Linked DNA regions of Saccharomyces cerevisiae S288C. Changing the gene in region 1 together with any one later gene gives a genetic interaction. Each region holds a gene or a part of one and is shown on either strand. Other genes may lie near its edges.

Evidence for each region.
Region 2: mutations in DUS1 (region 1) and TRM82 impair growth when combined (synthetic growth defect), as found in Saccharomyces cerevisiae (one study listed by BioGRID).

The regions. Positions count from the first base shown.
Region 1 is NC_001145.3:106,647-110,792, forward strand, and holds DUS1 (tRNA dihydrouridine synthase), read left to right. Parts: upstream 1-2,159; coding exon 2,160-3,431; downstream 3,432-4,146. Other genes in the region: TDA9 (Tda9p), read left to right, coding at 1-1,886; CFF1 (Cff1p), read left to right, coding at 3,601-4,146. UniProt on the Saccharomyces cerevisiae protein: Catalyzes the synthesis of dihydrouridine, a modified base found in the D-loop of most tRNAs. Specifically modifies U16 and U17 in cytoplasmic tRNAs. Also able to mediate dihydrouridylation of some mRNAs, thereby affecting their translation.
Region 2 is NC_001136.10:783,309-786,705, forward strand, and holds TRM82 (Trm82p), read left to right. Parts: upstream 1-1,562; coding exon 1,563-2,897; downstream 2,898-3,397. Other genes in the region: SEC1 (Sec1p), read right to left, coding at 1-907; exocyst subunit SEC5, read right to left, coding at 2,998-3,397. UniProt on the Saccharomyces cerevisiae protein: Required for the formation of N(7)-methylguanine at position 46 (m7G46) in tRNA, a modification required to maintain stability of tRNAs; its absence resulting in tRNA decay.

The DNA.
Region 1 (4,146 bases):
CACAAACTGCAACGACACAATCGGGGCCAGGGTGGACAGATTCCTCCCAAAAGCTGACTTTCTTTACAGAACAGTTGAGAAATTTAATTATTAAAGAAAACAATCTAAAGTCTAATCTCTTTCCCACTGTTGATGAACTGAATCATTATGTCGATTTATATCAAGTGGAATTTCATAAATATTTCCCCTTTATTCATTTATACTCAATTATACCATCCAGTGAAAACTATCCTTTAGTAATATCCATCAGTATGATTGGTGCTCTTTACGGATTTCATTCCACACATGCACTACTATTGTCGAAAATAGCAAGGACGAGAGTTAGAATGTTCCTAGAAAATACTCGAAGCAATCATGATAAGACACCAATTTGGCTAATGCAATCTTTAGTCTTATTAACGTTTACCAGCATTTTCTCCAATGATATGAATGCCTTTAGAACCGTGAATACCCAGATAATGATTTTGGTTCAGTTGATTAAAATTTCAAAGTTGAATTACCCATTAGAAAACTTCATTAAGCCACCGATCGAAAGTGACCATGTTTTAGAATATCAAGATAACCCCGCTGTTTTGAACCAGTTCAAGGCTCAATACAATACCCGTGAACAAATAAACAGAAATTTCAAATATTTTATCTTAGCACAATCAAGAATAAGAATATGCCACATAGTCCTGCTGATTTCTAACCTCTTTAAATCCTTAGTGGATTTCGATTGTTGTTTTCATTCCATAGATTTGAAGTGTGGTGTTCCTTGTTACAACGAGGTACTGTTCTTTTGCGAAAATTCAAGAACTTGGAATGAGAACTTGACGAGATTCAATATCGTTTTGGATTCCAAGTTTTCCCTAATTGAAGTATCTAATGGTGAATCAAACTACGAGAAGTGCTTGATGTATTTGTCAAACGGTAATCCTTATCTTTATAAAAACGCTAAAATCTCATTCAAGACTTTGCTATCTTTACTGATCTCTATTCATGAAAAGATAAACATCGAAAGAGATGCGTTGAAAGATAGTTACGAAAGCGATTTCCATGCGAAGAATGTTCAGTGGCGGATGCATTCAAGACCCTTGGTCGCCACAATGCTAAAACATTGGGAACTACTTTACATCAAAAATGGTGGGATATTGGCTCTCAGTGACGAAAACCTGCCAATAATAAATACTAATCCGTCGTTTAGATTGATAATTCCCTTGTACTTCTTTGCAAAGCTAAGGAAGTGCCTTGATATTGCTCCAACACTAAGATGCATTTGGAACCAAGACTGGAACTCAATGAATAGCTCTTTAGAAAAAGTGTGCTACGAGCGGGAATCACTACGAGAGGCCACAGAGTACGCTGTATCCGTTATCACTTTCTGGATTGATACTGTCTCTGTAATGAAGGGTAAATCGACACAGACTCCAATCTTCACCATTACTTGTATTTTTGTTTCGATATTGGTCATAGCGGGGTACATGAGGAGATTGGAAGACTTTGCTCAAAACAAAAACAGTGATTGTATGATTGGTAGTTTAAAAAGCACTGACAGGATCTTGTGGTTAAAAGCATTCAAAACTTTGAAGAGGATCGAATCACATTTATCTGAAAGAGAGTATAAATTACAAACATTTGCTGAGTTTTTAAGGGTTCCAGATAATGGCAGTCTTGATATTGAGAGTTTGGACTCATCCTTAATAGAGAATACTTTGAATTCACATGATGTTACCAATCAAGCGCTGGACATAATCACGAGAACAAGATTGTCATCAAGAACATTGTATTGCGGTGCTAGAATTCTTGGCGATACACCAGTCTGGCCCGTATCTCTGTTGTTTGCTCATGCCTTACAATCTAGGGCTATTTACAATATCAACCACAGGAAATCTGTAAACAGTGTATAGACTTTAGATAGATATTTAGCATATCCGTATGTAACATTATATTAGTTCTTTAGGGCAAATTGAAAAATTTAATCATCTTTTCTTATTCTTAAAAGCGTGAAAATCAAAAAAAAAAATCGATGAGTTGAGAACATATGATAAATAAAAACAAGCAAGGTGATCGTCAAACTGCACTCACGCACACATAGATTTTTAGCTCCCAAAGTGCTATCGTCTATACTATCCAAGTTTTTACAGGCTCGCAATAAGCTCAATAAACAATATCAACTGCATATGACTGAACCTGCCCTGAGTAGCGCTAATAACGCTCTGATGCAAAAACTAACAGGTCGACAACTTTTTGACAAGATCGGCCGTCCTACTAGGATCGTTGCACCAATGGTAGACCAATCCGAATTAGCATGGCGTATTCTATCGAGAAGATACGGTGCAACCTTGGCGTACACTCCCATGTTACATGCAAAATTATTTGCTACCTCGAAGAAATATAGAGAAGATAATTGGTCTTCCTTAGACGGCTCTAGCGTAGATAGGCCGTTGGTTGTACAGTTCTGCGCTAATGACCCAGAGTATCTATTGGCGGCAGCTAAACTGGTGGAAGATAAATGCGATGCGGTAGATTTGAATTTGGGCTGTCCTCAAGGCATAGCTAAGAAAGGTCACTATGGGTCATTTTTGATGGAAGAATGGGACCTTATACACAATTTAATCAACACCTTGCACAAAAATTTGAAAGTTCCAGTTACAGCAAAAATACGTATATTTGACGACTGTGAAAAGAGTTTGAATTACGCCAAGATGGTGCTGGATGCTGGAGCTCAATTTTTAACCGTCCATGGGAGAGTAAGAGAGCAAAAAGGACAAAAAACTGGTTTAGCTAACTGGGAAACAATCAAATACCTAAGAGATAATTTACCTAAAGAAACCGTGTTTTTTGCTAACGGGAATATCTTATATCCTGAAGATATTTCACGTTGTATGGAACATATCGGTGCTGACGCAGTGATGAGTGCTGAGGGGAACTTATACAATCCTGGTGTTTTCAATGTAGGCCAAACTAAGAACAAGGAGAAGATATTTCCACGCGTAGATAAGATTATCAGAGAGTATTTCCAGATTGTCAAAGAATGCCAGGAATCTAAAGCCTCCAAGACAGCAATGAAATCACATTTTTTTAAGATTTTAAGGCCTTTCTTGCCGCATCATACTGATATTAGGTCAACACTTGCTACTATGAATGCAAAAGCCACGTGGGAAGAATGGGAGGAACAAGTAGTGAAGCCTGTCGAAAAAGTAGTGCAAGAAATATTTGAACAGCCAGATATCGCTATTAAGGATGAAATTACTATCGGCGAAAAGCAATCATGGGGTGGTTCATATAGAACTGTTCCATACTGGAGATGTCAACCATATTTTAGGCCTGTTAACGGTATCACAGGTGATAAAAGAGTTATGCAAGGCCTCATAGATGAAAGCGTGAACAAGAAACGTAAAGCTGACGTGCCATTAGAATCTGCTGATAAAAAGAAGGACGTGAAAGCTTAAAACCTGATAAAATCCATGTATATTTCTTTGCCTTTTCTATTCTTTTCTCTAAGTATAGTTTTTATGTATGTATATTAATTCAAACAGAAAATGTTCAACTCCGTCTCCATAAGAAAACTTCTTTCAATTTGAACACTTGTATATTCAATCAGAATTCGCCATAGAGAGCATGTCAGCCAATGTACAAGAAGCTGCAAATGCAGCTATAGAGCCGGCCAGTTTCGTTAAAGTCCCAATGCCTGAGCCACCAAGTAGTTTGCAACAATTGATCAATGATTGGCAATTAATCAAGCATAGAGAAGGTGGGTATTTTAAGGAAACAGATAGGTCTCCCTACACCATGGAAGTAGAAAAACCAGTAAATGGAGGCTCAGGTAATACTGAAATGGTAACAAGAAATCAATCTACGTTGATCTATTATCTACTAACCCCCGACAGCCCAATTGGGAAATTTCATAAGAATATTAACAGGATCATACATATCTTACAAAGAGGCAAGGGTCAATACGTTCTAGTATATCCTGATGGTCAAGTGAAGTCATTTAAAGTTGGTTTTGACTATAAGAATGGAGAAGTCTCGCAATGGGTTGTCCCCGGAGGTGTGTTTAAGGCAAGTTTCCTTCTGCCAAACGAAGAATTTGACAACGGTTTCTTGATTAGTGAAGTAGTGGTACCAGGTTTTGACTTTGAGGACCATACCTTCTTGAAGGGTGAA
Region 2 (3,397 bases), on another chromosome or scaffold:
CCAATTTTGAAACCTTTTCCTCTTGCTCACCAGCTTCATTCTCGGCAGAATAATGATATATATCTTTTTGTGTGTCCACATTAGCTACCAGGTCATAAGCCATTGCTTGATAGCTAAAATCATGTAATATTGGCGCAAAAGGGTCCAGTGTTCTATCGGTGATTATTAGAATGGAACGCGGTCTTTCAGTGTTTTGAGGAGGGAAATCTGGATTATTGCGAGCGTATGTATCTATCGCTATTTGGAAAGCGTTTGCAATAGACCTTGTTAAAGAATTTGCGTTGACTACGGCGTTTCCATTGCGGGCATCTTCCTCTTCCACAGGATTAGATACAGAATATCTAACAATCGGATATTCCCCCGTAATAACACACAAACTAACTAGTGAGCCTACAATCTTCCTCACGTTAGTAGGAATCAAAGCCTTACAGTTGTTGTTGAAAAAAACCTGTAATGAGTGTTCCATTTGTAAAGTTTCGAAGAATTGAGATTCTTTGACGAAAAACCCTAGTTCGATCGGCTTAAATGACTCCAAATTTTGAGCAATGTAACGTTTTGATTGAAAAAACTGAAATATAGGGTTTGTTAATCCTGGTAAAAATCTGATGTGACATCTTCTGTACTTAGGTGGTCTTACCATGAAGTCAGCATCGATACAATTGATGTTATATTTCGTTGGTTCCAATATGTAAATTGCCTCGATGGAGGATTGTCCTTTTCTTGTTGGGGAATCAATCAAATCAACAGATGTGACATTATTTAAAAGTTCTTGGGGTGTGAGGAAAAGATAACTCAATATTGTCTCCACAGTTTTATCGATAATAAGAAACTTCAAGTTATTTTTCGTCTCAATCTGATTCAAAACCCCTATCAAATAGTTCCTCTGTAATTCAATTAAATCAGACATCGTTCCGCCAAACCAAGCATGTGCACACTCTTCTACTTTGTCAGTGGATTCTAATTATTTTCAAGGTCTTACAAAGCAATGTCTTACTAGTTTCAATAGGGACTTAAACTGATCGTTTAAGCAAAAGAAAAACACCGTGCTGTGTGACCATCTACCAATAATTGCGAGAACATAAGACGACGCCGCCATTCACCTCTCTATCACTTACACCATGTTATAGGGATAAGTGTGTAGTCGATCGGCTATTCGATGATTTTTAAAGAGTGCCTGTAATAATAGCTGTATCGCAAGTAAGGAATACAAGATTACTGATATTTTGATCCAGGAGGATGGACATGTTAGATAGAAAAACTAAGAGGGCTACTACATCCGGTTTAGTATTCTGTTATTGGGAATGCTTTTCCCAAGACGCAAGCAAGAGGTGACACATAAACATAGTTTTCTTATTGTATCGTTACATATTCTTATTTTACGCTGCTGTCATTAAATATGGCACTTATCTCAGATACATTTCTTTTAATCAGCGAAAAAAATGGCGAGGTGAAAAAAATCGATGAGATGAAAAAATTTTTTACTAGTAAAGGCGTATTGATGATATATTAGCAGCTAAAGTATAGCAAGGTTTGTCAATTTGAAGCAGTCCGCGTGTTTTACAATGAGCGTCATTCATCCTTTGCAGAATTTACTCACCTCTCGTGATGGCTCATTAGTTTTCGCCATCATTAAGAATTGTATCTTAAGCTTCAAATATCAATCGCCAAATCATTGGGAATTTGCTGGAAAATGGTCTGATGATTTCGACAAAATTCAAGAATCGAGAAACACCACTGCTAAGGAGCAACAAGGACAATCCAGCGAAAACGAAAACGAGAACAAAAAATTGAAAAGTAATAAAGGCGATTCCATTAAAAGGACAGCAGCCAAGGTACCATCTCCAGGTCTTGGCGCCCCACCGATATATTCGTACATAAGAAATCTGAGATTAACTTCGGATGAATCAAGACTAATTGCGTGCGCAGATTCTGACAAGTCCCTCCTAGTTTTCGATGTCGACAAAACTTCCAAAAATGTCTTAAAGTTGAGAAAAAGGTTCTGCTTCTCAAAGAGACCGAATGCTATTTCTATAGCCGAAGATGATACTACAGTCATAATAGCTGACAAATTTGGTGATGTATATTCTATTGATATTAATTCTATCCCGGAAGAAAAGTTTACTCAAGAACCTATTCTCGGTCATGTCTCTATGTTGACTGATGTACACTTGATTAAAGACTCTGACGGTCATCAATTCATAATTACAAGTGATAGAGATGAGCATATTAAAATTTCGCATTATCCCCAATGTTTCATTGTGGACAAATGGCTCTTTGGTCATAAGCATTTTGTTTCTTCCATATGCTGTGGCAAAGACTATTTATTATTAAGTGCAGGTGGTGACGATAAAATCTTCGCTTGGGATTGGAAAACTGGTAAGAACTTGTCTACCTTCGATTATAATAGTTTGATTAAACCTTATTTGAATGATCAGCATTTAGCACCACCAAGATTTCAAAATGAAAATAATGATATTATTGAATTTGCAGTTAGTAAAATTATAAAGTCAAAGAACCTACCGTTTGTTGCGTTTTTCGTCGAAGCTACAAAATGCATAATAATTCTGGAAATGTCCGAAAAACAAAAAGGGGATCTTGCACTAAAGCAAATTATAACTTTTCCATATAATGTTATCTCATTATCCGCCCATAATGATGAATTCCAAGTCACCCTAGATAATAAGGAATCATCTGGTGTGCAAAAAAATTTTGCCAAATTCATTGAATATAACTTAAATGAGAATAGTTTTGTCGTGAATAATGAAAAATCAAACGAATTTGACAGTGCCATCATACAATCAGTACAAGGGGATTCTAACTTGGTGACCAAGAAAGAAGAAATTTACCCGTTATACAATGTTTCCTCGTTAAGAAAACATGGAGAACATTACTCGTGAAATAAAAAGGTAGTAAGTACATCTTTATAACTAATATAAAAAAAGATACGTACCGATTTGTGTTAATAATCATTGTTAGTACATCTTTATACCTCTGTTTCTAGCTGAAGGCGGCGAATTGAATAGCAGTTCTTTTTAAATTGGCAGATACAATAGGATTAATCTCATTGATACATTTTTGTAGTCTATTTGTGTCGTTCTGGAAACAGTTTTGTAAGCACGCCCTTAATGTGGCCTCGGTGTCCTTTTCAAGTAAAGGACCCATAACCTTCTGAAAGAATTCCAAATCCACTATAATTTGTAATGAGCCATCATTAGAAAGATTACCAACATAAGGCTTAAATGCCTCAAAGAGGTATCTGGCTATAAAAATCTGCGTTTCAATTAAAATCTTATGGATGAGCTGAGGCCCAATTCTAAAGCACTCACTGTGAACCACGATCAGAATCATTAACGCTTCTATAATATAGTCACCAACCCTGAATGAATTTGATGTATAC